Linked DNA regions of Cricetulus griseus. The protein of the gene in region 5 purifies or fractionates together with the protein of the main gene of each other region. This does not show direct contact. Links are inferred from orthologs where the notes say so. Each region holds a gene or a part of one and is shown on either strand. Other genes may lie near its edges. The genes, in order: Nmd3, Bach1, ATP-dependent RNA helicase DDX19A, Nup88, Xpo1, Ncbp1 and Nxf1.

Region 1 (4,786 bases), on a different chromosome or scaffold from region 5:
AAGAATGAAACTAAAGAAGGAATGAAACATCCACTCTCAGAAGGCATCTTCTACTGTCAAATTCAAAATACTTTTATACAAGGACTTTTACTATCTTTACCAAATTAGTAGGACAGTAGAAAGCACATTAGGAAATCGCAAATTATAAAATCTTTGGTACCATCAACCTAAGTAAAAATTAAATCTCAATTGCACATGCTTCCTTCTGGTACTTTGGTGTAATCCCAGCACATCCCAGTGGCTCTCTGTATGAATATCAACTTAAGAAAGCTAAACAAGTAACATACAGTACCATACCTTTGACACTGTTTGCAGAAAGAAATGGAGACCTGCTTTGGAACACCTTGGCTGATGTCAACTTTACTTCTCAAACAAGCCACACAAACGTTGGCAGGATTTGGGCTAATTGGAACACCACACTCACAGCACAAGCTTGAGAAGATAAGTATAAAAATTTTCCAATTAGATTTTATAAATTCACTAGGCAAAAAAACACATACATACATACATACATACATACATACATACACACACACACACACACACACACACACACACACACCCCCACCCACCACCACCCACCCTCCTCCCTCCTCCCTCCTCCTCCCTCCCTCCATCCATCCATCAAATCAAAGACCTGGAAACAGTTTTTAGCACCCAAGTGGCAGCTTACAACCAACTATAACTCCAGTTCCAAGAGATTCAACCCTTATTCTTCTGATCTCTGTGGGATCCTGAATGTACATGGCACACACACATATACACTCATGCACACACATGTAAAACAACTTTTAAAGCCAAAATAGGACAAGCTGAGCATGGTGGGAAACCCCTTTAAAATTAACAACCAGGAAGCAGGGAACACAGTTCTGTGAGTCCCAGGTCACCCAGGACTACACAATGAGACTCTGTCTCAAATTAAGACAGGAAAAAAAAAAAAAAAAAAAAAAAAGCAATCTTAAAGAGTGAAGAAGAGCCCTGGAACATTGACCCAAAAAAATAAGGAGGCTGCAACTGCAGGGAACCCCTTTAAAAGACAGATCCCTGCCCATTTGCACTCTCTCTACACTTCTCCTCTTCTCTGTCTACTTCTGCTTCTCTTCTCTCTCTCCCTCTCTATGGTGACCAGCCATGGTGGTCAGCCATTTACACTGTTTCTCTTCTCTCTTACTCTCCTTACTCTGCCAGGCCTATAATAAACTGGTTAATATGTCTAATATGTCTCATCCTGTGTCTCATCTTGCGCCTTCCTCCTCCTCCTCTTCTTTATCTTTAATTTAAACAAAAATCTGACAATGGCACTGTGCAACAGAACTTCATGCAATGACAGATATATTCTAGTCATTCATCATCCCTTCTTTAAAATTGGAAAACTAAGGAAAAAAGAGATTAACAAGGAAAATAGTGTAACATCAATGGTAAAAACTGAAGCAGATCCCATGTGAACAAAAAGTAAGACAGCCCAGTGTGATGGTGCACACCTTTAGGCCCAGCCCTTAGGAAGCAGAGGCAGGCAGATCTCTGAGTTCTAGGACAGGTGGGGCTTAACATGGTGAGACTGTTTCAAAAAGCAAAACTAAACAAGGAAACAACCAAAACAAGCAACATGTAAGTGCAGTTTCTCTTTAATCTTCTAAACACTACCCTGTGTAGGTCACATCCGACCAGATGCCTTTGTTCAGAGCACTATCTCCACGACATTAGGAACAGTTCAGTTACTGGGACCCACGGTAAAAGATAAGGTATGTATAACATGAAAACAGAAAGGTTATTAGGGGGAGAAAAGGGATCAGTGGGAGGCGGGAGACAGTGAAGCACAGCAGTAGGGTAAATATGAGCACTGTACAATGTTAAATATATGTATACTCATACATATGTATACATAAAAATGTCATAATGAAACGCATTAACTTTTACGTTAAAATTAATCTTAAAAAGAAAAACCGACTACAGGGCAGGATCGATATCTGCTGAAGCTCTAGACAGAAGTATAACTCTATAGTGTACTGGAAGCAGAAAAATTTTGTGAACTGGGCTTGACATAACCTCAGCACTGGGGAGGCTAAGGCTGGAGGGCCAGGCTCCCAATGTCAGTCTTGGCTACAGGGTGAATTTCATGCGGAGTTGGGGCTACACTGCAGGACTCTATTTGAAGTAGATTTGAAAAAAAAAAAAAAAGTTTGTGAACCATTGACACTGTTGCCCAAAAGAAAAATATAATAAACTTCCAGCGGTAGCCACTAGTTTTATGTGGCTACTGAGTTCTCAGTGTGTGGCTCGTGTGTTGGAGGAACTGAGTTATGAACTCAAAACATCCGTATGTGCGGTGCCTCTCTGGCAGGTCGTCTAGGATGAAGCATGCATGTTCTAGATCGAACTTAGAAATGAACTGAATCAATTAAAATGAATTAGATTTCCTAAGGGATTAAGACTTGATTTTTTTTTCCAACTGAGAAAAGGGCTTCTGCCGCTCAAAGTTTTCCAGGGCTCATTTCACGATCTGCAAACTAAGGAAGGAGAGGGAGGCTCGCGACTCACATGTGTCCGGGGCTGCGATCAACCGATTCTGTCATATACTCCATCGTTCCGGACCTATTAAAGGAAGGGAGGGACCGATGAGCAGCCTTACGTCCCGTGGCGTCGGCCGTGCAGGTCGGGCCCCGGGTGGGTGGCTTCGGAGGCGTCCTCCACACACGACCTCAGGCCGCGCGCGGCCCCGCGTGGAGCCGGCCTCCGCACCGCCCTGCCCCGCCGCACCCACGCGGTCCGCTCGCGGCCGGGGTGCAGGGCCCGGCCCGCTCCCTCCACGGGCCAGTGCGGGCGCCAGGAGACGGATCGCGACCCCAGAACCTACCAGCTCCTGCGTGGCAAGGGGAAGGGCAAGATACCGGCAGCCCGCCAGGCCGGGACTCCCTGCCAGTTGCCTCAGCGGGCCAACGCCACTGGGAATGTCTCGCGATAGCAGGACCGGAAGTTCCGTGTTCAAAACGACTCCGGTGAAAGGGGAGGGTGGGCGGGTCAAAGGTAAGGTACACGTGTAGCAAAGGGCGGGGCCTATGGAGGTAGCGGGTCATGAGAGGCGGGGCGAGCTGAGCAGGCAGGGAGCTCTGGTCACCGCTGCTGGGGTTGTGTAGTCCTCCCTCTGCTTTTCACCCTTCCCATACCCTGAAGATGCTCTATATAGGACCTGGAGAGATGGCTCACCGACTATAAGCCAATTGTTCTTACCTGGGTTCAATTTCCAGCACCCACGAGGTGGGTTCAGCCACCCACAGTTCTAGTTCTAGAGGATCTGATGCGGTGGTGCACATATGGTCATCCAGGCAAAACACTCATATACATAGGATAGATAAACCTTTCTAAAAATTGCCCAATATGAATATCACCGTAGATAGCCTAAGCATATCAAATCACTGTTTACTAAACAACAAAAAATAAAAATCTGATAACGTTCTCCTAGATTACATTGTACTTTTTTAATGATAAGCAGAAAAAACTGAAATGTTTTTCACCAAAGGAAATTATTCTTAAAGAAATAATCCGGACATGTTTTTTCTGAGAAGCGAATTCACAAAATAGATGAAAATAGATATGTAAGCAACAGTTACAATGTGGTTTCAGAAACTGGTGTCAAAAGGAGATCCTAATATTTCTAAGAAACTTAAATTTACTTTCTTTTGAGTGTTTCGCCTGCATGTGTGTCTGTACTAAATGCACGTCTAATGCCAGAGGAGATCAGAAGGAGACAACTGGTTGTGAACCACTTTGTGGGTACAGGAAACAGAAGCCATGTCTTCTTAACCTCTGAGCCATCTCTCAAGCCCCAATAAAGATATTTTCACCTATGCAAAGTGTGCTGGATAGCTTTATGTCAATTTGACACAAGCTAAAGTCATCTGAGAGGAGGGAACCGCAATAAAAAAAAAAAAAAAAAAAAAAAAAGCTTCCATAAGACTGAGCTGTAGACAAGCCTGTAGGGCATTTTCTTAATTAGTGATTGGTGGAGGAGGGCTCAGCCCATTGTGGGTGGTGCCATCCCTGGGCTGGAGGTCCTGGGTTCCATAAGAAAACAGGCTAAGCAAGTCACCAGGAGCAAGCCTGTAAGCAGCACCCCTCCATGGCCTCTACATCAGCTCCTGACTCCAAGTTCCTGCCCTGCTTGTCCTGACTTCCTTGATGATGAACTGTGACATAGCAACGTAAGCAGAAAAAAAAACATTTTCTCCCTAACTTGCTTTTGGTCATGGTGTTTCATCAAAGCAAGAGTAACCCTAACAATGACACGAAGTTACATCCTTCTGAAGATGTTAATAAAAGAAATAAACTAAGAAAACAGAAATAGTTTCTATGAATTATCGGTGGAGTTAAGCAAAAGCAGATCACCAGTCCATTGATAGCATTCCATTTGGCTCTAGCAGAGACTCCATCAAAGAAACAAAAGTTGACAAAATCTGTAATGTTCTACAACAGTTTCAGAAGAAGATATATAAGTAACTGGCAAAGTTTATAAGGGAATTCTATGATGAAGTTACACAGACAAATTCAACAACTTGAATGAAATAGACTAATTCCTTAGGTCCACCAACTAGTAATACTCCCTAATATAAAAGCATTTGAGTTACTCATTAACTAGTAAGGAAATTGGATGTGTAACTTGAAAACTCCTCCCATTCCCACCGGGTCCAAATCATTTCCCTGGAGAACTAAAGCACATGTCTCAAGAACAGGTGGCACAAATTCTGTACACTCTCTGCCACGGAGGAGCTGAGAAAGAAGCATACCCTAT
Region 2 (4,008 bases), on a different chromosome or scaffold from region 5:
TTCGAACAGAAAGTTCACCTGGGTTAAAAATACAAATTACACTTAAAACTTTGAGTTACTACCAGATTGACCAAAATACTAAGACTCTCCTAAAACATGCTAACCTTACAGCGTTTAGCATGAAACCACTAAAATAAGCACTACTAAATTCTTCAAGAACAATGAAACTGGGTCACTTCCAATGCTGGTAGGGCTGTCAGATGAATACCCACTTGAAGAAACCACTAGGTCGTTTCTTAAAAAAACAAAATGTGCAAAACTACCTTATGACCAGAAATTGCACTTCTGTTTTTTTTTAATCCCTGATTAATGAACATTCTTCCACACACACAGAAAAACCTACACAAACTTTTATCTGTTACACATAAAAATTGAACCTACTCTCAATCCCTTCAACAGGTGAAAAGGTTTTAAAAAGGAAAATTAAGACATAACTATTACAGTATTCATCAGCAACACAGAATAAATTATTGGTACAAGAAATCCGAATAACAGGAAATTATCCTAAGTGAAAAAGGGCGCGTAACACTGCACTGCCCCACTTCTATGACCGCTTTGAAATGACCAAACTTCACAAGAGGAGGACAGAGAAGTGGCTGCCAGCACCTAGAGACAGAAGAGGGGAGGGGAGTATGGGGCCCAAGCGTGGGAAGGAATAGCATAGCAGCAGCGGGATCCTTGGTGATCCAGATCTAACCAGCAGCGAATTCAGAAATCCTCAGAACTTACACAGCCTGAGCAATACATGTAACACTGCGGCCATCAGCTCACCATGCATGGACTGTGTCCACATCAACATTCCTATTGGGACATTATTACTTTTTCAAAATGTTACCGATGGAACACGGAGAAAAGAGTAAAAGAAATTCTGCATTACTCTGAATTTATAATAACCTGAATGAAAATGTCAATTAAAATTTCCCAAAATATACCAAAAAACAAATATATGCAATGTTTTCAACCTGTCCCTGTGATGAGACAGTTGACTATTTGAAAACTTGTGATATATCTTTTGTCAGAATAAACATAAAACATCCAAATGTACGCACTATGCATACAGATGTGGATTAAAATAAACATCTTCTCTTCAAACCCATTAGACAAACTTTGTTCTACCTGTAAAGCCTCATTAAATAGTCTGAAATATGAACTGTAGAAAGCAAACCCACGCTGTGACTACTGTTCTTCTGTAAAATCAATGGTAGGGTACCCTTGGCTCACACCCAACACTACAGTCACAGTAACACACAAGATGAATTCGCACTTTATCCAACTATGCCCAACAGGGAACATCACACAGTACGTCATACACAAGAAGTCTACACATTTCCTCCTAGTCTCCTCAAAACTCTTTGTGTCCAAGGTCAAAATAGATTAAGAACAGTGACTGCCAAAGCACACACCCCAATAAATAGAGCCAGGAAGAATCAGTGCAACCAGCCCCACCCCATCTCAGACAAGCCCCTTGAGGTTAGGACAATGACAAAGACCCTAGTATTTACAAGCTTAAGTTACAGACTGGGGATGGAAAGGTGTGTGTAAAACAAGACAACAAACTATTTTGCTTTTTAACGTTTGTTTGTTTATTGGGTGGGGAGGTGGGAAGGTGTGTGCCAGCTCACATGTGGCGGTCAGAGGACAACCTGCAGGATTCTCGACTTCCATTACGTGAGTCCGGGGAATCGAACTCAGGTCAACAAGCTTGGCGGCAGATGCCTTTACCTGCTGAGCCATCCATTGCACTGGCCAAGACATCTTTCCTCCCAAAGCACAAAGACAATCTCAAGAAGAAAGAAATCAGGGAGAAATCCACTCAGAGAGCGCCTACTTTTCATGGGGGATGTCTTAGGAGAGAACCTGTCACAGCTGTCCCTCAGAGGGTTGGTCACACAGGCAGCTCTCTCTCAGCTACAACCCCTCCAAATGCCTACGACCTTATGAGGTGGACTAAGATGCAAGTGTTGTTTCAACATATTCCACTGCTCAGCAAGTATTAGCATCCAAAGTGAGACCTTTACATGTGAATATTCCTGTAGCAGAACCCAAAGGGTTGCTACAGAAATGCTCCTCGAGATGCCCATCCCCCCAGGGAGACCAGAGTCTGTTTTCAGCTTATACCCAGAAGGCAGCTAGGGAACAACAGGTTGGGACTGACGGCGCTGTAGCCCCTCACCTCTTCAGGCAGAGTGATGGTGAGTTCCGCATCCGTCTGGCCTACGATTCTCGAGTGGAAGTAGCTGCTGCACGCAGCCAGCACCGCGCGGTGGGCTCGGAACCGCTGGCCCTCCACCACGACCGTGACATCGCACAGCACATCCCTCTTCCGCTGGTCATTGAGGCTCAGCAAGACGTTGGTGCTGTGCACAGAAGACTCATAGGCAAACAGTGCGCTCTCACTCACAGACATCCTGGGTGGCAAACGGGGTCAGGGAGAGCAGTGGGAAGCATGCTTCTAACTGTCACCGACCTGCAAACACACAGGGAAGATGTCACTTAACAGATCCTGGGGGGAAATGTGTTTGAAACAACAAACTGTCAGCATGAATTAAAATATGTACTTGTCACTAACACAAAAATGGACAAACGTCTCCAGAAGGACAAACCACAAGTAAAGCAGGCTGATGGACTAATTCTAATTTTAAGGCAAAAATCTTAGAGACAGTAAGAACGTCCTGAGCTCAGGAAGTGCTGGGTGCCTGAAAGTAAGTTTATACTGAGAGCAGGTTTGATAGGAGCCAAGGCCTGGCTGAAACCTTCAGTCCAAATCCCACCCTCTACTTGAAGAGAGGTCACGGTGTGGCCAGAGCGGGGAGGTCACATGCTGGGATGGGGCACCCCACCATTCTCCATGTCCTGTTCACCCACAATGAGGAGAGAATAGTCAAAGGCAGAGCTTCCTCTCCAGAGACTCCAATAACCGAAGGTCAAGTTCATTCGGAGGCACAGGAAAAGGGGTTCCCATGTGTCAGGACACATCTGAGAATTCACTTTCCACATGCTATACTCTGGGAGGCCAAAGTCAGGCAAAGAACATGCGCAGAAAGCTTTGGTTTCCTCAAAATGCTACAGTGTAAGACAAAGTCGTCATTATTTGGACATAAAGTGGCTTCCAAACTTTTTTTGAGCATGTGCACAATACTGGCACTCAAAGAAAGGAGGTACCGCAAATACATGTGTGCTTGTCATTTCTGCCAGGACTGTTCTGCTCTACACACCCTGAGACACACGAGGACCTGTAACTGCAGAGTCTAAGGGATGCCAATTTCCTGCAGCCCCCACAGCCTGTGCTAACTGCAGAGTCTAAGGGAAGCCATTTTCCTGCAGCCCCCACAGCCTGTGCTGAGCATCCCCAGGTGTGCGCCCAGAGATGATGCCCTAGGCCCCTCTGCATGACTCATTTCTTCCTACATCGGCTTCCCTGTCTGACCCCCAGAGGGTCAGTGGAGGAGACACTGTCATGCTTTCAGATTTGATCCATCCCAAGAAAGCAGAAATCTCAAGTTCACTCAGATCACAGACGGGCTCCACCTCACCATCCTGGTGTTTCAGCTGCAAACAAGCAAAAATCAATTCCTAAATCCCCTTCAAATCTGTGTTTGCTTTTACACAGGTAAGCCATGAAAACACGGTCGTTTGGTTTGTAGTGAAACTCTGCCTCCAGTGAAGGATCCAGCCTTCCTTTAGCTGACCCAGCATACCACCAACACCATCGGCAAGTTCAACATTAAACGTGAAGGTGGATGAGCTTGGGGTTGCACCCTTACAGAAGGAGCAGTCTGATTCTTCTCAAAATGGGTCTTCATGATTCAGTTATCAACAAAAGCAATCTCTAAGAACTGCTGGGAACAGTAGAGATTAGCTTTCCAAAATCCTGTTTTCTCCTATTGGTGGGAGCTCTGGGATCAGGAGTCCTCCTTCAAGGCAGCTGTCCACACTGGCCTGCCAGCCAAGGCGAACGCCACAGCTACTACCCCATGCTGGCTCTCACGCTTTCCAGCCACCCAGGTT
Region 3 (4,008 bases), on a different chromosome or scaffold from region 5:
AATTTTACTTGCAGAGGTAGGCGGATCTCTGAGTTTGGGGCCAGCCTGGTCTACAAAGTGAGCTATTGGGCTATACTGAGAAACTGGCTCAAAAGTAAAAAAAAGCAGGAACAGATGACAAATTGGTGAATAAATTAATAAACCCTTTGACAAAGAAACACTTTCAAGCCTAATTCCCTGAGAAACCATGAAAATCAGTTGGGCAGTGGTGGCACATGCCTTTAATTCCAGCACTCAGGAGGTAGAGGCAGGCAGATCTCTATGAGTTCAAGGCCAGCCTAGTCTACAAAGCTACCCAGAGAAACTATCTTGAAAAACAAAACAAAACAAACAAACAAATAAAAATAAGGGCTGGGGATGTAGCTTACTTGGTGGAATGCTTACCTAGCATGCATGGAACAGTCCCAGAATCAAATGAACCAGACCTGGTGGTGGCACATGCCAATAAACCTAGCATACGGCAGATAAGGGTAGGACATGAGAAGTTCAAATTCATCCTCAGTCAAAAGCAGTTTGAAACCAGCACGTGCTATATGAAACTCTTATCTCTAAAAGGTTATTTTTTTTAGTAATAAAAAATGATTGTGGTATAATAGCTCAGTTGGTAAAGTGCTTGCTACACAAGCAAGAGGATTTGGGATTATATGTGTAGCATATGCCTATAATCCAGTGCTAACAGGGGTGCGGAGACCCAAGAATCCCTGGGATCTCTAGCTGAATACATGTCCTCCAAGTTCAGAGAGAAATGTGTTTCTCTCTCACACACAGTATTTGCCAAAACAGCTCCATGCATTAGGCATTCTCAAGTAGTCAGTGCAGTAGTGCTGACCACACAGTAGTGCAGACTAAGACACAGTATTGTTGAGTACAAAGTAGTGTTGACTACAGACACAGTGGTGCTGACTACGGTCACAGTGCTATACAGCTCAAATAATTAAAAACAGAAAACCCTGGGGCTGGAGAGATGGCTCAGTGGTTAAAAGCAATTGCAGCTCTTCCAGAGGACCTGGGTTTGATTCTCAGCAACCACATGGCAGCTAACAACAGTATGTAACTGCAGTTCCAGAGGATCTGATGTTCTCTTCTGGTCTGCAGGCATTGCACACACAAACATACGAGCAAAACACCTACACATATATAATAAAGATAAATAAATCTAAAAAAAAAACCAAAACAACAACAACAACAAAAAACCCAGAAAACCCCTTCTGAGAGCTATTAAGTACATTTTATCGTTAGGGGGTTCCTTCCCTCAAAGCTGGTCTATCAAAGGCTTCGATGTATTTTAGGTGTCAGGAATCCAGGCTCTTCAGGCAGTTTCTAAAAGCAGGCTAATGTTTGTAAAGCCTGTAGACTTCCAAAGGGCTTACCTAATAAGACATGTTTCTGACATCCAGAAATCACCTGTCAGCCAATATTTTTATTCAAAGTTCTAAGAGTATAAAAGAAAAAAAAAGATTTTCAGCTATGATGAATAAATCTGTAGCATTTCAGTTTCTACTAAGAAAATCATGTACTGTTGTTCCCACATCTATAGTCCTAGCTACCCGTGAGGCTCAGGTGGGAGGCTCCTTGAGCCCAGGTGTCCAAAGCTTGTAAGGGCAACATACAAGATGCCACATGCATGTTGTGACCCAGGCAGGTCCTAAACTTCTGAATCTCTTACTTCAAAGCAGCTAGGTCATGGGCCTATATCACTACCAGGCCACTGAGAATTAGTATCCAAAGAAAAAGAAAAAGTTATACTGGAAGAAAAAGGGTAGCCAAGAGAGAAGACCGTCACTGTAAACGTGTTCAATATAGTTTCCTCTGTCCTAGGCTGGCCTCAAACTTGCTGTATAGTCTAGAATGACCTTGAGTTTTTAAAAAGATCCTCCTGCCTGCACAATCTCCCAAACGCTGGGATTACAGGTGTGCCATCTAATGCCTGCTTTGTGCAGTGCTAGGGATCAAACACACGACTTCAAATTTGCTAAGTACTTATTCTATTACAACCTTCTACCCTCCCACACTAATGTTTGAATAATTAGGTTTATTTGTTAGTTTGTGTTTTTTTTTCCAGACAGCGCTTTTCTGTGTAGCTCTGGCTGTCCTGGAACTCAGAGATCTACCTGCCTCTGCCTCCTGAGTGCTTTGGTTAAAGGCATGAGCCACAGCTGCCTGGCAAATCATGTAGATTACCTACTCAAAGACATAAGTATGATTAAAAACAAACAAACAAACAAACAAACAAACAAAAAACCCTTTCTTTTTAAAGCCAAAGTTAAAGTCCAGAGAATGTAACCCTGACTGTTCTGGAATTTACCCTGAAGACAGGCCTGCCTCTGCCTCCTAAAGGTATGTGCCATCACCACTGGCTTTTAGTTGTTGCTGTTGTTTTTTTGAGACAGGATCTCTCTTCCTAATTCTGGCTAGACTGAACTCCGAGAGATCCATTTACAGGTGTGCACCATCATGCCCAGTTCAGAGATATTTTTTCACTGGGACTGGGTAACAGCTGTTCAAAGCGATGGATACTCACAGGCGAAGCTCTTCAAAAGACTTCACTGAGTAAAGAGGAGAGTTTGGGTCCCTTTGCAAGACTTCTACTTGGTTGGTGTTATCCACAAGATTGCTTCTGATGAGCTTGTTGAGTAAAGACTGAGCAGCTCTATCCTCTGTGAGGAAGAAAACAGATTTTCTTCATCCGAATGAGGTAAGGCCTGCCCTTGAGAAAATACGCAACCCGTTTCTGCATCAGACGTTTTCGAGCACTCACAGTTGGAGAAAAGCCAAATTCCACTCCCTTTCCATTTTTAATTTATTAGAGATACTGTCTCACACGAACTCACAGCATCCTTCTGTCACAGGGACCCAACTTCTGGAATTCCTGCCCTTGTAATGAATAAGCTATTTTTTGTTTTGTTTTAAATGTCATTTGCCTTAGCTTCCCAAATAGCTAAGACTGAAAGCATATGATGCTTCTAAATCACTTTATCACCTATAGTGACACCCTTTTGTTTTTTGTTTCTCCAGTGTTGGGGATAGAACTCAGAGTCTAGTATACACAAGACAAGTGTTCTGCCCTTGAGGTACATGTCCAGCCTGACACACATTCCCTTTTTGCTTTTTTTTTCAATGTTTATTTTATTTTTTAGATTTATTTATTATATATATAGTTTTCTGCCTACATGTATGCCTACAGGCCAGAAGAGGGCACCAGATCTCATTATAGATGGTTGTGAGTCACCATGTGGTTGTCAGGAATTGAACTCAAGACCTCTGGAAGGGAAGCCAGTGCTCTTAACCACTGAGTCATTTCTCCAGCCCCCCTTTTGCTTTTTGTATGTGTGTGTGTAATGTATGTTTCTTTGAGTACAAAGGTGTGCGCAAGTATGTGTGTACATGAGTGTAGAGGTCAGAAATTGACATCATACATCTGCCTCAAATGCTTCATCACCTTATTTTTTGAGATGGGGATCTCTCAATGAGCCTGCAGTTTCTCAATTTTTTAGGCTGGCTGGGCAGAAAGCTCAGGATCCCTCTGTTGTCATACCACCCACTCCTACATCCACCACCAGAGCTAGGCTTACAGATGAATGCTACTGCTCATGATTTTCATGTGGTACAAACTGGGGGTACAAACCCAGGTCACAACTTCATGGGGGGCAGGCCACTCTATTGAATGAAGCCATCCTCCCAGATCTGACACACCATACCACTGTTGGCAATTTCTTCGGCTTCAAGTTCAGCACACTTTTGTGGAATATTAGTTGAAAATGCATTGCATTGGTTTATACTGTAGAACAATTCATTTAATGATGCAAATGCATTGCATTCTTTTAAGTTGCACTTGTTTAACTCAGTGAAGCTATGTTACTCTGCCTGTCTAGAACACCTGATTGGTCTAATAAAGAACTGGATGGGCAATAGCATGGCAGGAGAGGGATAGGCGGGGCTGCCAGGCAGAGAGAATACATAGAAGGTGAAAAGAGAAGAGGGAGGATGGATATAAGGAGGAGAGGGGAT
Region 4 (4,692 bases), on a different chromosome or scaffold from region 5:
TACCTGTGTATGGAGAACCATGCATTTAATCATTTAAGATAAGGCTTTTTTGAATATAATGAGATTTCTAATTGTTTTTATATCTGTAGGCTAGCGTGTCTTTAAATGCCTGTTGCAGAGCTGGGCAGTGACAGAACACAGTTTTAATTCCAGTTCTTAACAGGATCTGTCTGATCTCTGAGTTTGAGGCCAGCCTGGTCTACAAAGCAAGTTGCAGAACAGCCAGGGCTGCTGCACAGAGAAACCCTGTCTCAAAAAACAAAGAAGAAAAAGAAAAAAAAGTCACCAAATAATACAGAGCTCTTACATGCTCTAGGTTTATGACAAGTACTGGATATAAAAAAGGTAAACATAGCCTCTGTTTTGGTGTTTACAAATGAGAAAATAAAACAAAAGTTTTAAAGTAATTATTACTGCATATTACTGCACTAAATGTTACAAAGCATGAACACGTTATTAACCAAAAACTGAACAGTGTACTGGAACCAGGTATGAAGTTATCCACCTTTAGTCAGGCAGAAGCAGGGCTTAAGATCAGGAGCATGTGGTCAGTCTGTTAACTGTGGTCCCCCCCCCCCTCTCTCTCTCTCTGACACACACACACACACACACACACACACACACACACACACACACACACACACACACACACACGAACGATGGCCTGGCTCAGACGTGTAATCTCAACACTCAGAGACCGAAGCAGGAGTTCCAGACCAGCCTGGGATACATAACCAAAGGGGAGAAAAAAATCAAAACAAAATAATTTACTGAAGTATGTGTGAATTTCTGATACTTATTCGTAATGGGAATTTTACAGCGGTAGATGTGTAAATGTTGACGTAGTTTCTCAACAGCCCTGGCTGCACCTTGTTAAAATCAAATCACTTCTTAGTAAGAACTGGTTGGTCCAGGGCACACAGTACATCTCATACATTAGAATGAATGTCACATTTTGGGTTTTCTTTTTTTTTTTTGCTTGTTTGTCTGCTTGCTTGCTCCTTTTTTTCTTTTTGAGACAGGGTCTCTCTCTCTCTCTCTTCTCTCTCTCTCTCTCTCTCTCTCTCTCTCTCTCTCTATATATATATATATATATATATATATATATATATAACTCACTATGTAGACTAGGCTGGCCTCAAACTCAAAGAGACCTTCCTGCCTCTGCTTCTGAAGTGCCAGGATTAAAGGCCTGTGCCACCAATCCTGGCTTAAAAAAAAAAAGTCTTTAACTGAGGAGCGAGGTGGTTTTTTGTTTGTTTTTAACTAATTGTTTTTTGGTAGAGTTGGGGGGGTGCTACAGGATGAGGGGCAGATTTGGAGGGACTGGGAGGTGGGCGGGATTGGGGTGCATGATGTGAATTTCCCAAATTATGATTGAAATATACAGGGGGTGTGTCTTTGAAAGAGTATCAGTTTACTACAAATGAACAGTTCAATAAAGCAGTATTCGGTTACAGCAAGTCTAGAATAGAATACACTGTGATTATATCAACTTTCACAAGCCATTCATTGGCTCATCAAAAACAAAAAAGTTTGAAGACCTAGCTCAGAGTTGGAACTCCTATGTTTCCCCCGGTGAAGGCGAAGGTGTGTGTTAATGGGAGTGTGTGCACGTGTGTTGGTTCCCTGCTCTGAAACAAACGAACAAGCCTTTCCAACTTTAGTGAGGGCCTAAAAGGTCAAAACCAAAACCAAAATACAGGGATTCTCTTTTCACGTCAGGCAGGTAATTTGGTCCTTTTAAATCCGTCTTAAAGCCCACAAAAAAAAAAACAAAAAACAAAAAACAAAAAGAATGTGTCACAAGGTTCTTTTGGTCAAACAGCTAAAAACATCTCCGCCAACTTCTCTTACCCTGCTGTGCTTTTCTCATTTCACGGTTCTGTCTTTTTCACCCCAGACACTCAGAAAGCCAGCACCTAAACAGCACGAGCTCCTCTAAGTGCCTGGCAGTGACCGAAATAACAAACAAGCTGGAGAGGGATAAAAATATCAAAGAGGGGCTTTTCCACTCGAAGCGGGGTGTCCGCTACCACTCCCACGACAGAGCCCAACAACCAAGACGCGAAGCGGACCTCAAAGTTGGGTGAGAGGCCGGCTAAGGGTCGCTTTCAAGACGGACGGGCGCACCTGGTACTGGGAGAGAGGGGGCTCCACGCCGCCGCCGCCGCCGCCGCCGCCGCCGGGACCTCGAAGGCGAACCACCAAGAAGGCGCTGCTTTCCGCGTCCCACAGGAAGAGCTCCCCTCCGAGGCCGAACACCAGGTTTCTCGTCAGCAAATGCGGCGGCTGGGGCGGGCACGAGGGCGAAGTCGAAGCCGCTGGCTTCTCCGCTTCGGCTGGACTCTGGTTTTTCAGGCCCTCGCGGAGCCGCAAGAACACGACATGGTTAGGAAGCCAGCTCTGCCACAGCTCCCCGTCACCCGCAAGCCCCTCGGCAGCCGCCATCTCGAACCAACAGCTCTCGGTTCTGGCCCGCCGCGGCGCGTAGCCAATCCGCGACCAGCTCTCCACAGCTTCAGCCTATCAGCGAGTAGGAACCCGAGGACAGGCATCACTAGAGAAAAGCCAATCTACGGCGCCGCAGATTGACGTCAAAGTGGGCGGGGCGGGGCGTGGTCAACCACATCGCCGGCTTAGAGACGGTTTTGGAAGGGTGAAGGAGACGTGTGTGTCTAGTTGTCTACTGACGCCTCCCTCCGGGTAGACCCAGAACTTTCTCTCAAGACTCACCTCCCTCAGCCCAGGTGGTGTTTACTTCTCAACTGTCACAGCTTCATCCGTCTTTGGATTCCTCTAAACCTGTCTGTGAGCGGATAGCCACTAGAGACAGTTCCAAGAAAACCTCGCCACCTGAAGGGCGATCAGCACCCAGAAACTAGAACTTCCAGTATCCTTTGCGCGCGGCTAAGGGGCGGGGATTCGGGAGCCGCCTCCCGCTAAGAGATGGCAGAGTCCTCGGGGTCTCCGCACCGCCTGTTGTATAAACAGGTGGGCTCGCCGCCCTGGAAAGAAGCTTTCAGGCAGGTGAGTGTGAGATTTGGCTCGTTATCACTTCCCTAATCGTCCCTAGGACCGCTGATCTCTGTGCCCTCACTTCAGCATTGGTCATGAAGCAGATGCCCGGAGTGCCTGGCCAGCGGAGGTGAATCTTGAATTCAAGACTACCAAAAGTCGTCCTGAGTTGGGGTAGAGAGATGGTGAAGTGTTAGGAGGGAGCACTTATGCCCTTGCAGCAGACCTGGTGGCTGTAAATCCAGTTCCAAGAGCGCCACCATTGCCGTCTTCTGGCCTCTGTGGTCACCTGCACTGATGCAGTGCACATAAACTCATACAGGCACACACATGTATACATTTTAAAAAAAACCATCAGGGTTGAGAAGTACTATTGTGTAAGAAGATCATCACTATAGCATTATGTACAGTAGCAGGAATTTGGAAGCTATATAAATGTCTGACGTCAGTCTGTGGATGCAGTTACTATGCACCCGACTGCTTGCATTCAAGATAAAATGTGAACTACAGGAATCTGGAGATACATGAGCAAAGCACTGTAATTTTACCTATCTGTGTGTGGGTGAGGACTTGAGAATACAAAATTTTGCATCTAAAACTAAAATAGTTTTACGAACTAGTTAGAGGTTTGTTTTTTTTTTTTTCCTTTCTTTTTTAGTGGAATTGACCTTTTCTTTCTTTTACTATTCTGACTCCTTTCCCACAGGGATGTCTCGAGAGAATGAGAAACAGCCGGCACAGGCTCCTGGCCAGGTACCGCCAGGCTGGAGGTGGCACACCAGGGAAAGCCTCAGACAGATTTCTTGTGCAAGAAGTGATGGAGGAAGAGTGGAACTCTTTGAAGTCTGTAGAGAATTGTCCAGAAGCCTTGTTTCAGGTCAGGCAAGGGTCTGTAGCTAGCAGACACTCCATGAAGAACTTGTGCTAACATCTTTCTATCAGTTTTTCCCTGTCTTTTCAACCTACCCACCTCCCAGCCCCCAAGCATAGTTCTAACAGCTTTTTTGCTCAGGTTTTTCTAATTTTGAGTATTGATTTTATATTGATGGTTCTGCAATACTAGATTGTAGGCATGTTGCAACCTTGTAATGAAACTAAACTTATGAAGCTAAAAGGAAAGAAAATGTCATTCATTCTTGCTTTCCCCCTTGAAAATGTTGACTGATTAGGAATGGGTTAGGGACATCACTTTGAAAAGGATGTCTACAGCAACATTCTGATTCCAGCCAATCAGTTGGGAGTTGTGTGTCCATAGAAAACCATTTACAATGTATCAAGGAAGGCTATAAGTTTGTATCAGGGATTCTGTTTAGTTTTACTGACTCTAAACCTTACTGTGTTTCTTTGAACCTTAGTTTTTATATTTACATAAAATAGAGAGGATGGCTCGAGCATTATGAAAATTGTGTAGCAAAACATGAAACCCTTTGAAACCATCAAAGCACTGTTTGATAATGATGCATTTTCAGGGGCATCTATGTGTGTTATAGTGTGCCAAATAACCCTAATGTCACCACAGTTAGTGCTCACAACAGGCCACTCAGGTTGGTCTTACTCTAGTTTTACAGAAGCTAAAACAGCTTTTTAAGGACTAGATGTTTTCACATGGCCAGTCTTAGGACTTTTCCTTAACTGCTACCTGATTTTGTCTCCCTTAAATTTGGTGGTGAGTAC
Region 5 (4,008 bases):
GCTTAGTTACCTTTCCTGGACTATATGTCTAATTTCTTCAGTTTCTGCTTCTTCCCAGAGTCCTCTCTCCCCTTGGAAGTCCCACCAGTCCTCACCTGTCTAGCTGTTCGTCATTCAGCTCATTAAACCAATCAGAAGGCACCTTAGGCAGAGACACAGATTTACAAAAGATTATCCTACAGCATGTGGGTTTTTCTTTGGGGGCAATATATCTTACAGGACCTATTGATGAAGTACAGGCTTGTTATTTCCCTACCTTAATAATGTTTGTTCTCATTTCTTTTAGGATTTTGAAGAATATCCAGAACACAGAACAAACTTCTTCTTGTTACTTCAGGCTGTCAATTCTCATTGCTTCCCAGCATTCCTAGCTATTCCACCTGCACAGTTTAAGCTTGTTTTGGATTCTATTATTTGGGCTTTTAAACATACAATGAGGAATGTTGCAGATACAGGTAAATACACAGAAAAGTAGTTTAGCCCATTTGCCTGATGAATCAGAAGTATATACTATATACTAAGTCCCACTTGATACCTCTTTAATTTCTGAGGTTTCAGTTACCAGAGGTTAACCAAATTTTTAAAATGTTGAATAAATTTAAGAAATGAAAACGCAGTACTCTTTAAACAAAACAAACAAAAGAAATCCACAGGCATAGTGGACATGTCTTTCATCCTGGCACTTGGGAGGCACATGGATATATAAGTTCCAGGCCAACCAGGTTTATACAGAGAAACCCTATGTAGAAAAAGAAACAAAAAGAGAAAAAAAGAAATCAACAATCATAACCAGAAGCTAGTTTTTATGAACAGCTATTAAGAACTAAAGGAAACTGAGCATACACAAAATGCAGGCGCTCTATAAAGCATAATGAAACATGCCCCAAGCAGATTTTCATATGCACATCTTTTTTGGGGGGGTTTCAAGTCAGGGTTTCTCTGTGTAGTAAGTAGCTTTGGAGCCTATCCTGGTACTCACTCTGGAGACCAGGCTGGCCTTGAAACTCACAGAGATCCACCTGCTTGCCTCTGGCTCCCGAGTGCTGGGATTAAAGGCGTGCACCATCAATGCCTGGCTACACATCTATTTATTTAGTAAAAGCTCTCCTTTAATCCCAGCAGAGCCAGGCAGATATCTGTTCAAGGCCAGCCTGGTCTGTAGAGGGAATTTTAGGACAGGCTCCAAAAACACACAGAAACCCTCTCCCCTCCCCCATATATCTTATCAGTCTGTAATGATGTTCTATTGACTTTAGGCTTACAGATACTTTTTACGCTTTTACAAAATGTTGCGCAAGAGGAAGCTGCAGCCCAGAGTTTTTATCAAACTTATTTTTGTGATATTCTTCAACATATCTTTTCTGTTGTTACCGACACTTCACATACGGCAGGTAAGAACTGGAACCACAAAGCTACTAAGTGTTCTGGTTGTTAAGTTTTATCTTTGAATTAATAATTTGCTTCTATTCAACAGGCTTAACAATGCATGCATCAATTCTTGCATATATGTTTAATTTGGTTGAAGAAGGAAAAATAAGTACACCGTTAAATCCTGGAAATCCAGTTAACAACCAAGTGTTTATTCAAGAATATGTGGCTAATCTCCTTAAGTCTGCATTCCCTCATCTACAAGAGTAAATAATTCTGTTACTATCTTTACTATACGAGAAGGGGGGAGGGTGTGTGCATGTGAGTGAAGTTTTAAGACCAGAGGCACCACTCCCTTTGGAGCTGGATTTATAGGCAGTTGGGAGTCACCTGACATGGGCAGTGGATTCTGTTTTTAATGTTAGTTTTGTGGATAGATGCATGTGGGTGTGTGCAACTTTGTACATCGTACAGATCAGAGGGAAACATGGGAATAATTTCTTTTCATCTACTATGTGGTTTCCAGTAATGGGTCCTAGACTGACAGCAAGTGCCTTAACTCAAGTTATATTATTTAAATCTTCTAAGTTTTGAAATTTGATGGATGTGCTTGATAGATAAACAAGTGGTCTTAAACATAGTGCCTTAAATGTCTAGTTTTTAAAGATGGTTAATTTTTGTGTTTATTTGCAGTGCTCAAGTGAAGCTTTTTGTAACAGGACTTTTCAGCTTAAATCAGGATATTCCTGCTTTCAAGGAACATCTAAGGGACTTCTTAGTACAAATAAAGGTATATCTTTCTTAATCTAAGTTTTTATTTAATTTTGCTTTTTGTGAGAGGTTTACTGTGTGGACGAGGTTGGCCTTGAACTCATGCATCTGCACTTGTATACATGTGCTTGTGGAGGTCATCCTCAGACATGCTATCTACTTCCTTTGAGACCAGGATAGTCTGAAGCTTACAATTTAAGGCAGTATAGTTTCTTTAAATACCAGGCAAACATTCTGAGCTACATTCCTCAACCACCACCCCTAGCCCTGGCTGTCCTGGAACTCAGCCTGTAGACCAGGCTGGCCTTTAACTCAAGAGTGTTCAGGAGCCTCTGCCTCCTGGGTGCTGGGACTACAGGTTTGCATCACAACTGCCTGACTAATCATAGTTGTTGAGCCATTTTATCTGCTATGTTTTTAATCCTCTAGTGTTAAAGAATTGCAGTGCTCCTTGCACTTTGTTGAGGTTTTTTTAGTTTGGATTATTTGAAGTGGGATCTCACTATATGTATAGCTCTGACTGTCCTAGTACTCACTGTGTAGACAAATTGGCTCAGAGATCAGCCTGCTTCTGCCTTCCGAGTGCTGGGATTAAAGGCGTGGGCCAGATCTTGTTGAGACAGGATCTTGATGTATTGCCTATGCTTGGTACAAACCTGTGAGTTCAAGCAGTCCACCTGTGGCAGCCTCCTGAGTGCTGTGAATGTACTTGTGTACCATTATTCTTGTCATGTGATTCAGATAATGCTTGAGAGGAAAATTTGTGGTGCTAGTGAACAAGCACAGAGTTGACTTACTCAAGGCAATTTAGTGAGAATTGATGTCAGATGATCATGTACAATAAGATCATTGAGTTCTGAATGCAAAGAATATGACACGCAGAGACCCTTCTTCAAAACAACAACAAAGGATATTTAATAGGGGATAACACTACATTATTAGGCTCCCACCCCAAGTTTTGTTTTTAATTTAAGATTCTACTAATACACTTCAATTATAAATCCAAGTGACAGGTAATTTATATTTCTATTGCAAATGGCAAAATGGTTACATAGATGTCTGTCCCCCAGTCCCCCGGAGGCAACTTGAAGTTTTATTGTATTTGACCCTCAGTTGTCTGTGTTCACAGGAGTTTGCAGGTGAAGATACCTCTGATCTATTTTTGGAAGAAAGAGAAACAGCGCTTCGACAGGCTCAGGAGGAGAAGCATAAACTTCAAATGTCTGTACCTGGGATTCTTAATCCACATGAAATTCCAGAAGAAATGTGTGATTAAAATCTGAAGTCATACTTGGTTTTTTTCTCTCTGCAACATTTGTTCACAGAAGAAAACAGCATATGGATTATTTGTCGACCAAAATGATGCCAATTTGTAAATTAAAATGTCACCTAGTGGCCCTTTTTCTTATGTGTTTTTTGTATAAGAAATTTTCTGTGAAATATCCTTCCATTGTTTAAGGTTTTGTTTTGGTCATCTTTAGTTTGCATGAAGTTGAAAATTAAGGCATTTTTAAAAAACTTTTACTTCATGCCTATTTTGTGGCAAGGCTGGGGGGAGGAATTAATTTGATTTGAACATATACTTGTAAATTCTAATGCAAAATTAATTATAAAATTTTTTCTTGTAAACATTACCAATTTTAATTAGGGAGCATTTTCTTTCTAGCCTGTATCTCAGTCTAGAAGAAAAGTAATGAGTAAAACCAATTGCATTCAGAGGTTTGTTAGAGCTGCACTGTCTGGAGTTGGCACCTCAGCTGAATTGTCTGTCTCTAGACTACATGTATTAAAGTCTGTGTGTCGAGTTTGCAGCAAGATCATGTGCATATCATCCCATTGTAAAGCAACTTAAAAAATATGGGAACAGTT
Region 6 (4,008 bases), on a different chromosome or scaffold from region 5:
GTTTCAGGATGGAAGGGAGGCCAGTGACATGGAATGTAAACACATCCTCTGCACATTCCCCAAAGCACATAAGAGTAGATAATACATTATCACCTGATGCACAAATCTTTTACATACATACACTGTACAAAGAAGCCTTAAGATCTTGCTCTTGTAGTTAGGAAGATCAGCTTCCAAAACACCAGCCAAGCCTTCTAGATTGCTCTCCAAAGAGCAGGCACTCTGCAGAGGACATCACATTAATTATCTGTTAGCGCTCAAGCAATCAATGACTTAAAAGTTAAAATTCCTAGATGACCATAAAACATTAAGGTCTTCTATAAGGCACTGTGGGGAAGAAAAATAAGAACTAAGGACAATTTTGTAGAAAATTCACTTAGCAGTAATAAATCCGAGTAGTTACTGTTCATTAGAATTATATTCTATGAAAAGAGAGTCAACAAAATCTTCAAAACAGTCTAAGCAGAATGTGCATCCATCCCAAGTGTGGGGACAGCATGGGCTGTGCTCCATCACTCTCACTAATCACCCTCTGCTGTCTGAGGTATCCAAGTCTGCTTCAGGTCATCATGCTGAGGACTATCCTCAGGTCTATTTTAAGGCTTGTCTAATGAAAATTACCAAAACACATTCCCATTGGGATACAGATGTGCAGTAATAACACACACTTTGTCTGTAACTTGAATCACCCACTACAACTTCAGAAATTAATCAAAGCTGTCAGCCACAACCCTAACCCCTGGGTTTGATGCATACCTACCTTTTCCCCTACTTTGCATATTAAAGATTCCAAATGATCTTCAGTTTCATTTGCATCAGAGGTCTTTCTCCTTTTGTGAGGTTGTCCACCTATTTCAGAAACATTAAAAAAAAAAATTACATGATGACTCTACTATCACAATTTTTGTCACCTTGTTAGCCTTTAACCTCTTTTCCATCAGACTATGTTTTTTAGAGTAGCTCTAACCAATCACATTTTAACTAGTCTAGGTATACCTGGACAATTTCTATCCCGCATTCTTTTAGATTTGTGTGTACGTAAGTGGATGCACACATGTATACAGGTTCCCATGCTAGTACACTCATATACAGCCAGGAGAGGGTGCTAGGTGTCCTCCACCACACTATTCTTTAAGGCAAGGTCTCTCCCGAACCTGGGGCTCACTTTTCTTAGCTAGGATGATGGTAACTCCTAGTGATCCTCCTGTCTTCACTCTCTTGAAGTTGTGGTTAAAGACATATACTGCACACACTTAGAGTGCTGAGACCCAAATTCCAGTTCTCATGATTGTGTAGTAAATGCTTTTAACTGTTGAGCCACCTCTCCAGACCCCAGTCTCTCCCTCTCTATGCATGTGCGTTTATATATATTTAATTTTTTTTTATTATTTTATATGTACAGATGTTTGGGCTATATGTATAACTATGTACCACTTGTATGTCAGGAGCCAGTGGAGGCCCGAAGGGAGATTCATATGCCTTGTAACTGGAGTTATGGACTTCTGTAAGACACAATGTGAATGTTGGGAATTAAACAGAGGTTCTTGAGAAGAACAGTTGGTGCTCTTAACTGCTGAGCCATCTTTCCAATGCCTCACATTGTCTCTGTTATTAAGGTCACTATAAAGAATAATGTCAGGAGGCATTTTTTCAGTTAGATTTGTGTAAGCAATGTCCACTTCTTCGGAAACACTGAAGGGCACCAACACACCAAACACCCATAATCTGAGTACTGCTGCTTCCATTCTTTTAACTTGCTTACTGACCCACAGTTTTTGGTTCCTAAACCTCATAGTGTCAACCGTACTTGTTAAACTGATGATGTAACTAAATTACTGCAGAAACTGCTGAAATAAGGATTTAGAAACAAGTTGACTCTGCTGGAAATTTTTTATTTAAAGTATGACTTTAAACTTAACAGTGCTGATGCTAAGAAACTGCTTCAGAATGCATAATGCACCAACAGTGTTCTTCATTATTATTCAGAACCAGATTTTAGGTGAGGGTCAGAGAATACAGAGTGAAAAACTAGCTGAATGAGAGCAGCTGTTTTTCTAAACCTTTTCAAACTTTTTCCTTCCTTCTGGCCCATCTACTATACTAATCCTTTATCACATCCCAAAGCCCTCCTAATTATACATTGTTCCAGTTTGCAACCATTTTTGTCTTCCAAACATTTCTTCCATGTCCTCTTGTAAGCCTGACACACAGAAATCACTGCTTTGGGGAGACAAGGCAGACTTTCTAAAGACAATGAGAAAATACAGGCACATAGTCATATCTCTGAACTGTTAACTTCTGTGTTGCTGTGGCTATCCAGCCAAGGTTTATCTGGAGAAAACTGAAAGTACTAGAATGTGAAGAGTCACTCTTCTTACCTGATACTTGAGAGGGTATGAAAGGTACATGTGAGTGCTACCGATCACAGTCTGAACCCATGGACAGTAATAAGACACTGAACTCAGCAGACAGTCCGAGTGAGAGCACAGAAGCAGAATACAGCACCTTTATTAAAAATACTTTGGGGGGGGGGCTGGAGAGATGGCTTGGTGCATAAGAATACTTGCTACTCAAGCATGAAGGGCCAAGTTTGATCCCTAGAATTCACATCAAAAAGCTAACATATGCCTGGTATTGTGGTCTTTAAATCCACCATTAGGGAGCCAGAGGCAGGTGGATCACTGAATTTGAGGCCAGACTGGTCTACCTACAGTTCTAGGACAGCCAGGGCAAATCAGTGAGTCCCTGTGCTGGCTAAATTTATGTAACTATTCACAGGCTAGAGTCATTTAAGAGAAGGGAACCCCAATTGAGAAAATACCTCCATAAAATCTGGCTGTAGGCAAGTCTATAGGGCATTTTCTTAATTAGTGATCATGGGAGAGGGTCCAGCCCATTGTGGATGGTGCCATCCCTGAGCAGCTGAGGCTCAGAACCTAAGGTGAGCCACTGAGGAAGGTGCAGCCTCCACAGCAGTTGAAGGCCCACGATCAAAGGGGTCATGAAGAGTAGCTGAGGCTTGGCACTGTGAAGAGAGCCCCGGAAAGGGCTATTGGTGAAAGAGCAGCCCAGTTGCAGACAAGACCCCAGCATTTTGGAGAGGCCAGTAACATGGTATGACCAAGGACAGTTGCACGGATGGAGTGGAACCTGCCAGAGCTTAAGAGACAAGCTGTGTGTGCTGCAGAGAGTGAAGCAAGAGAAGAGACCCAAGATCCTTGGAGGATCCCAGAAGATCATGAGTGGATCCCAGACATTGGACACAGAGTTATTTATAGGTGGGAGTTTGGATTTGCTTTGTTCAGACTGTGAATGTGCTCTGGTTCTTGCCTCTTGAATAAAAAAGCAACTTATTTTTGAGACTTTAAAAGTTTTAAAATCCAAAGTGTTTGCATTGGTAAAGACTGTTGGGTTCTTACGTTTGTAATATGTTTTATATTTGTGTTATTTATTAATCTGAGATACTGGAGATGAAAAAAAAGGGAAAGGTTATGTCTTAAGTAAAGTATGTCAAACTGACAAGGAGTCAATTGTGCCGGCTAATTTTGTCAACTTGACACAGGTTAGTGATGTCAGAGAAAGGAACCCAATAGGGAATATGTCTCCACAAGACTGGGCTGTAGACAAGCCGGCAGAACATTTTTTAAATTAGTGACTGACAGTGGAGGGACCTGTCCATTACAAGTGGTGCCACCCCTGGGCTGGTTGGTAGTCCTGGGTTTTATAAGAAAGCAGGTTGAGCCAGATATGGTAGAGCACACCTTTAATCCTAACACTTGAATGGGAGAGGGAGATGGATCTCTTGAGTTTGAAATCAGCTTGGTCTCCATAGTGAGTTCCAGGACAGCCAGAGCTATCTAGAGACCCTGCTCCCCTCCGCGCCCCCAAAAAAGCAGGCTGAGCAAACCAGTAAGCAGCACTTCTCCATGGCCTCTGCATCAGCTCCTGCTTCCAGGTTCCTGGCCTAACTTCTCTCAATGATGGACTATTACCTAGAAGTATAAGCTG
Region 7 (4,008 bases), on a different chromosome or scaffold from region 5:
GCTTCTGGAAAATAGGAGGGGAAGATGGTGGTGATAAGAACTGTGGCCTGTATCCCAATGAATCCTGTGGTTATGGGTAGGTTCTGACACGTGACACTCACCGGGCAGAGTTCTGGGGGATGGAAGGAATGCTTAGTGAGCAACAGGCGCCATCATGGTAGGCATCCAGGAGACCCTGACGGTCTCCTGAGTCATAAATTGCATAGTACCTGTAAGGAAAGTGAAAGGAAGAGTCTGAGTTCTGTGTCTGAAAGCAAAGGGACACAGTAGTGAGCTATGCATAGGCCAGTAACTAACCCCCCACCCAAGGGGCTCCTGGGATACTCACTGCTGCAAGAAATGCAGGACCAAACTCTTTAGGTTCTCTGTTCCAAAATAGCTTCCCTGAAATCAAAGACGACATTAGGATCACAGGACCAGTATGCTTCCCACTCACCAATTTCTAATTCTAACCCCAATTCTGACCTTGCAGGGTGGTAGCATGGTGGGGGCTTCAACATCAAAGGCAATTGGAGGGGGTAGCTCATGGCCATCCTGTGAAAAAAAGGGAATGTAACATGAGAAACAGAAGAACGACCAGATCTGTGAGCACACAGAAAAGCTAAGAGAAACAGGCCAGAAGTCAATCATAAAAAGGCATGTGTGTCCAGGAATTTCATGTGAGCTTTTCTAGGGTGATGGCTACACTGCTAGCAGATCCTCAAAGGGATCTCCACACCCACACTGGTGGTCACAAAGCAGAGGCAAGACCTTGACTGTGCTTCTTTAAGAGAGAATGAAGTGCAAAACTTACCAGGCGTAACAACTTGGGAAATCGTTCTCGAACGGCGCTGTCAAGAACGGGACAGAAGTGAGTGACGCTTCAGAGCCATCATGCCTCCTGGGCTGCTCTAGGAGCAAATACACCAAAGACCCGAGGAACAGCCCATCCCATCCTGCTCATCACCCACTCCTTCCCAGCTTGCACTTGGGGACAAGAACCCCCATTCCCCTCCTCACCAGGAGCACCCCTTCTGGACTGCCTTGAAGGCTGGCTGTCTCTTCTCATTGCTTGATCCCGAGTGCCACAGGAGGAACACTCTCAGCCCAGGCTTTAAGCCTAGGGCTGCCTTCCCCACCTTGCCCCCCTTACCTTCCACCTACTCACCTGTGCAGCCCCGGGAGGAGGGAATGGGGTGAGAGCCCAGGGGCTCCGCTGCCTCAACAGGTATCCACCAGTTCTGCCAGGTCTGGCCTTGGCCAAGACCAGAACACACCACAAGTATGGCACAGGATGTTGGGGCAGGGAGATGAGCAAGACAGGGCTCAAGAGGAAAGAAGGCAAAAAAAGACCAGGGGAAAGAGGAAATAGAAAGGTAGGCAGGGGAGGGACAAGGGAGAGATGGAGTAAGGAAAGGAAGCAAAGCAACAGAGACAGAACTGAAGGGAAAAGAACAGGGAAAAGAAAGCCTTCCTCCTACAGCCCTTTCCTTCAGCTGCCCCTTTTCCTGTGGTCCAAGGTAGAAATGGAGAATCAATCCTACTATAGTGGTTTGTAGTCACTGTTGGCCAGGTCTCTGTCCGCTCCCTGGGTCCCGGTCTAAGCTGGGCGTGGGAGGTAAAGCAGCCATGGGGCCAGGAGACCTCCCTCAGAAGACATGAGGGTTCAGGCCCCTGCCGGAGTTGGGGGGGTGAGGGTCTGTGCCCCACCTCAGTTGGCCCCCAAGTTCTCTCCTGATGGCCCCTCTGCGACTGTGCCTGTCTTAGGTTGTTCCTTCCCTGAGGAATCTTACCCGTCTCTGGCTAACCAGCCATCCTCCGGGGCCAAGCAGGGTGATGTGAGGTGTGCAAGTGAGGGAGGGGCAGTGCCCCTGACAGGGTCATTTCTTTGTCTCCTTGGTAGCAGATGCCCCTGTGGCCTCCACGCCCAGCACCTGCCTTGGGATCCCCTCGCCTACTGGCGGGGCCCTGGCTTTGGTCACATCTTAGGGAACCCAGGTTTCTTCTCCAGGAAGGGCCCAGCTCACAGCACTGGGCTAGAGAGACCAATAGAGTGGTACCAGCCTCCCAGAGGCATCAACCTCAGCATGGACAGGAAAGACCAGGCCATAGCCTTGGGTAAATGGATCATGAGAAGAGTCCCTCTTGGCACAATGGCAAGAGTGACCATCAAATGACAAAGGAGGTCCATCTCAGTAGATAGTCCCAGTTAGAGAGGACTTTCTCACCCTGAGTACACTAGGCTTCTGGCTGAAGACAATCATATGGGTGGGGCATACATAAGACACCCCCATATCAGAACAGAAAATGGGAGGTGCCCTTCCTGGACAACAGGTAGGGAGATTCTAGAAAAGGCTGTGTTCAAGGAGGAGAACGGTCAGAAAACCAGAGAACAGTAGTCAGGTGAGAAGGAAAGAAAAGAGATCTGGGAGAAAGCTGGGAGACACAGAGAGGCAGAAAGGAATACGTTATCCTCCTCCCAAAGGACAGGTGGTTCCAGCTCAGGGCTGTATGTTCTCCTGTAGACAGGCTCTGGTCAGGGTGCATTAGCTCAGCCTCCCAGGGGGTGAAGGTCCCCAGGAGGGGAGACAGAGGCTACAACTGACCTGATATAGGTGGACTGGTCTCGGAAGTTATCACACATGGGGTTTCTGTCAAGCCACAGCTCTTCCAACTTTAGCCCTTTTATCTTGTCTAATTCCCGCTCAGACTTCAACTGTGAAGGATAAGGGGAGGGCAAAAGGGAAGAAAGAGACCCAAGTAAGAATAGCAGTTGGATCTCCACACTCCCAAATGCTACCTAAGTTTCCTTTCTTGCCTACCACCTTGGCCAACCAAACTCTTCTCACCCTCCCCCAACATAACAATAAAGCCAGAGCCAGTGGGATGGCTCACTCAGTGGGCAGAAGCTCTTGCTGCACAAGCCTCACAATCCACGTTCCAGCCCAAGAACCCACAGTGGAAGGAGAGAACCAACTTCCAAAAGCTGTTCTCTGACTTCCACCCACTCATAATCACTAACTAAAAAAAAAGCATCACTAGGTTATCAGTCCTTACTTCGTTTCCAGAGAGATTTAGGGTCTTTAGGTTCGGCGCTTTCTGTACAATGCTGGACATATCATCCAGCTTGAATAGTCTGTTGTTGCTCAAGTTCAAAGACAATAGCTGTAAACAGAACAAAATTTAGAAGTGTTACTACATGTAGACCAGAGGCAAGTCTGGTTCCTCATCCCTCATCAGGCCCCAACCCGATATATCCCACTTTGCTTTCTCATGCAAAAAAAGAAGCTGCACCTCAGGAATATTCTCTTCAATGATCTGCAGGGTGGCAGCCATACAGCTTCTCCGGTTAAGAACAGCATCAATGTTCTGGGCCACCAAATCTTCAGCAAGCAAAAAGAAAAAGAAGTCTGAGAGTTATACGAACTGATTGGGCCCCCTCTCCCTCTAGCCGGGACACTACTGTCATACCTGGGTCTGAGCGGAGGCCCTTGAGGTCAAGTGCTTGTTGGGAGCCATCATATCGTTTGCTCATGATCAGCTAGATGAAAAGAGACAGACAAAGAAAGGGTTTAGTGATCACTGAGGGAGAGTGAAAGACAACTGGGCCACTTAAGCCAGCCTCACCTTGAGCTGCTCTACTTGTTCAGGCTTCAGTTCTTTCTGTACACTGCGGGGTGGAGCAGAGGAGTTGATGATGATAGATATCTGAAGAGAAGACACAAAGGCAAGAGTATACTTGAGGTAGGCCAATACTTACTTAGTCCTTTTCACTCAGTGCATCAGCGTCAACCTATGCCACACCAGGCCCTTTGTCTAACATACCCTTCTGTTTTCTCGATCGTGAATCTTATAGTTCACAGCCTTTAATGCAGAAGCTGTAGTGGCATCTTCCACAAAAAACTGGGCCCGTGTGTTTTCATAGTGAAACTGGAAGAAGGAAGAACAAGAACGTGAGATTTGGAGAGCACAGGCCTTTGGCCAGCCTCCCAAGCCTCCCTTTGCCATACCTCAATGGGGTTGAAGGGG

Evidence for each region.
Region 1: the proteins of Xpo1 (region 5) and Nmd3 purify together in Homo sapiens (affinity purification with western blotting; 3 studies listed by BioGRID and IntAct, with this or other methods). This does not show direct contact. The link is inferred for Cricetulus griseus from reciprocal best matches to the Homo sapiens genes XPO1 and NMD3.
Region 2: the proteins of Xpo1 (region 5) and Bach1 purify together in Homo sapiens (affinity purification with western blotting; 3 studies listed by BioGRID, with this or other methods). This does not show direct contact. The link is inferred for Cricetulus griseus from reciprocal best matches to the Homo sapiens genes XPO1 and BACH1.
Region 3: the proteins of Xpo1 (region 5) and ATP-dependent RNA helicase DDX19A fractionate together in Homo sapiens (co-fractionation; 3 studies listed by BioGRID, with this or other methods). This does not show direct contact. The link is inferred for Cricetulus griseus from reciprocal best matches to the Homo sapiens genes XPO1 and DDX19A.
Region 4: the proteins of Xpo1 (region 5) and Nup88 purify together in Homo sapiens (affinity purification with mass spectrometry; 3 studies listed by BioGRID and IntAct, with this or other methods). This does not show direct contact. The link is inferred for Cricetulus griseus from reciprocal best matches to the Homo sapiens genes XPO1 and NUP88.
Region 6: the proteins of Xpo1 (region 5) and Ncbp1 purify together in Homo sapiens (affinity purification with western blotting; 3 studies listed by BioGRID and IntAct, with this or other methods). This does not show direct contact. The link is inferred for Cricetulus griseus from reciprocal best matches to the Homo sapiens genes XPO1 and NCBP1.
Region 7: the proteins of Xpo1 (region 5) and Nxf1 purify together in Homo sapiens (affinity purification with mass spectrometry; 3 studies listed by BioGRID and IntAct, with this or other methods). This does not show direct contact. The link is inferred for Cricetulus griseus from reciprocal best matches to the Homo sapiens genes XPO1 and NXF1.

Annotation. Positions count from the first base shown.
Region 1 is NW_023276806.1:83,373,710-83,378,495, forward strand, and holds the start of Nmd3 (60S ribosomal export protein NMD3), read right to left. Parts: upstream 3,010-4,786; 5' UTR 2,855-3,009; intron 2,593-2,854; 5' UTR 2,583-2,592; coding exon 2,539-2,582; intron 433-2,538; coding exon 298-432; intron 1-297. UniProt on the Homo sapiens protein: Acts as an adapter for the XPO1/CRM1-mediated export of the 60S ribosomal subunit.
Region 2 is NC_048597.1:9,663,462-9,667,469, forward strand, and holds part of Bach1 (transcription regulator protein BACH1), read right to left. Parts: intron 2,468-4,008; 5' UTR 2,408-2,467; coding exon 2,174-2,407; intron 1-2,173. UniProt on the Homo sapiens protein: Transcriptional regulator that acts as a repressor or activator, depending on the context. Binds to NF-E2 DNA binding sites. Plays important roles in coordinating transcription activation and repression by MAFK.
Region 3 is NC_048596.1:187,392,401-187,396,408, forward strand, and holds part of ATP-dependent RNA helicase DDX19A, read right to left. Parts: intron 2,660-4,008; exon of another isoform or gene 2,658-2,659; coding exon 2,522-2,657; intron 1,433-2,521; exon of another isoform or gene 1,394-1,432; coding exon of another isoform or gene 1,371-1,393; intron 451-1,370; exon of another isoform or gene 396-450; coding exon of another isoform or gene 385-395; intron 1-384. UniProt on the Homo sapiens protein: ATP-dependent RNA helicase involved in mRNA export from the nucleus.
Region 4 is NC_048600.1:84,773,896-84,778,587, forward strand, and holds the start of Nup88 (nuclear pore complex protein Nup88), read right to left. Parts: upstream 2,875-4,692; 5' UTR 2,737-2,874; intron 2,527-2,736; 5' UTR 2,452-2,526; coding exon 2,134-2,451; intron 1-2,133. Other genes in the region: Rpain (RPA-interacting protein), read left to right, coding at 2,950-3,030, 3,725-3,895. UniProt on the Homo sapiens protein: Component of nuclear pore complex.
Region 5 is NW_023276807.1:83,477,797-83,481,804, reverse strand, and holds the end of Xpo1 (exportin-1), read left to right. Parts: intron 1-286; coding exon 287-455; intron 456-1,256; coding exon 1,257-1,391; intron 1,392-1,474; coding exon 1,475-1,634; intron 1,635-2,061; coding exon 2,062-2,158; intron 2,159-3,268; coding exon 3,269-3,415; 3' UTR 3,416-3,547; downstream 3,548-4,008. UniProt on the Homo sapiens protein: Mediates the nuclear export of cellular proteins (cargos) bearing a leucine-rich nuclear export signal (NES) and of RNAs.
Region 6 is NC_048595.1:97,281,998-97,286,005, forward strand, and holds part of Ncbp1 (nuclear cap-binding protein subunit 1), read right to left. Parts: intron 850-4,008; coding exon 761-849; intron 223-760; coding exon 122-222; intron 1-121. UniProt on the Homo sapiens protein: Component of the cap-binding complex (CBC), which binds cotranscriptionally to the 5'-cap of pre-mRNAs and is involved in various processes such as pre-mRNA splicing, translation regulation, nonsense-mediated mRNA decay, RNA-mediated gene silencing (RNAi) by microRNAs (miRNAs) and mRNA export.
Region 7 is NC_048596.1:51,328,756-51,332,763, forward strand, and holds part of Nxf1 (nuclear RNA export factor 1), read right to left. Parts: coding exon 3,990-4,008; intron 3,910-3,989; coding exon 3,805-3,909; intron 3,688-3,804; coding exon 3,607-3,687; intron 3,521-3,606; coding exon 3,451-3,520; intron 3,363-3,450; coding exon 3,274-3,362; intron 3,145-3,273; coding exon 3,037-3,144; intron 2,696-3,036; coding exon 2,586-2,695; intron 831-2,585; coding exon 794-830; intron 535-793; coding exon 466-534; intron 385-465; coding exon 329-384; intron 210-328; coding exon 102-209; intron 5-101; coding exon 1-4.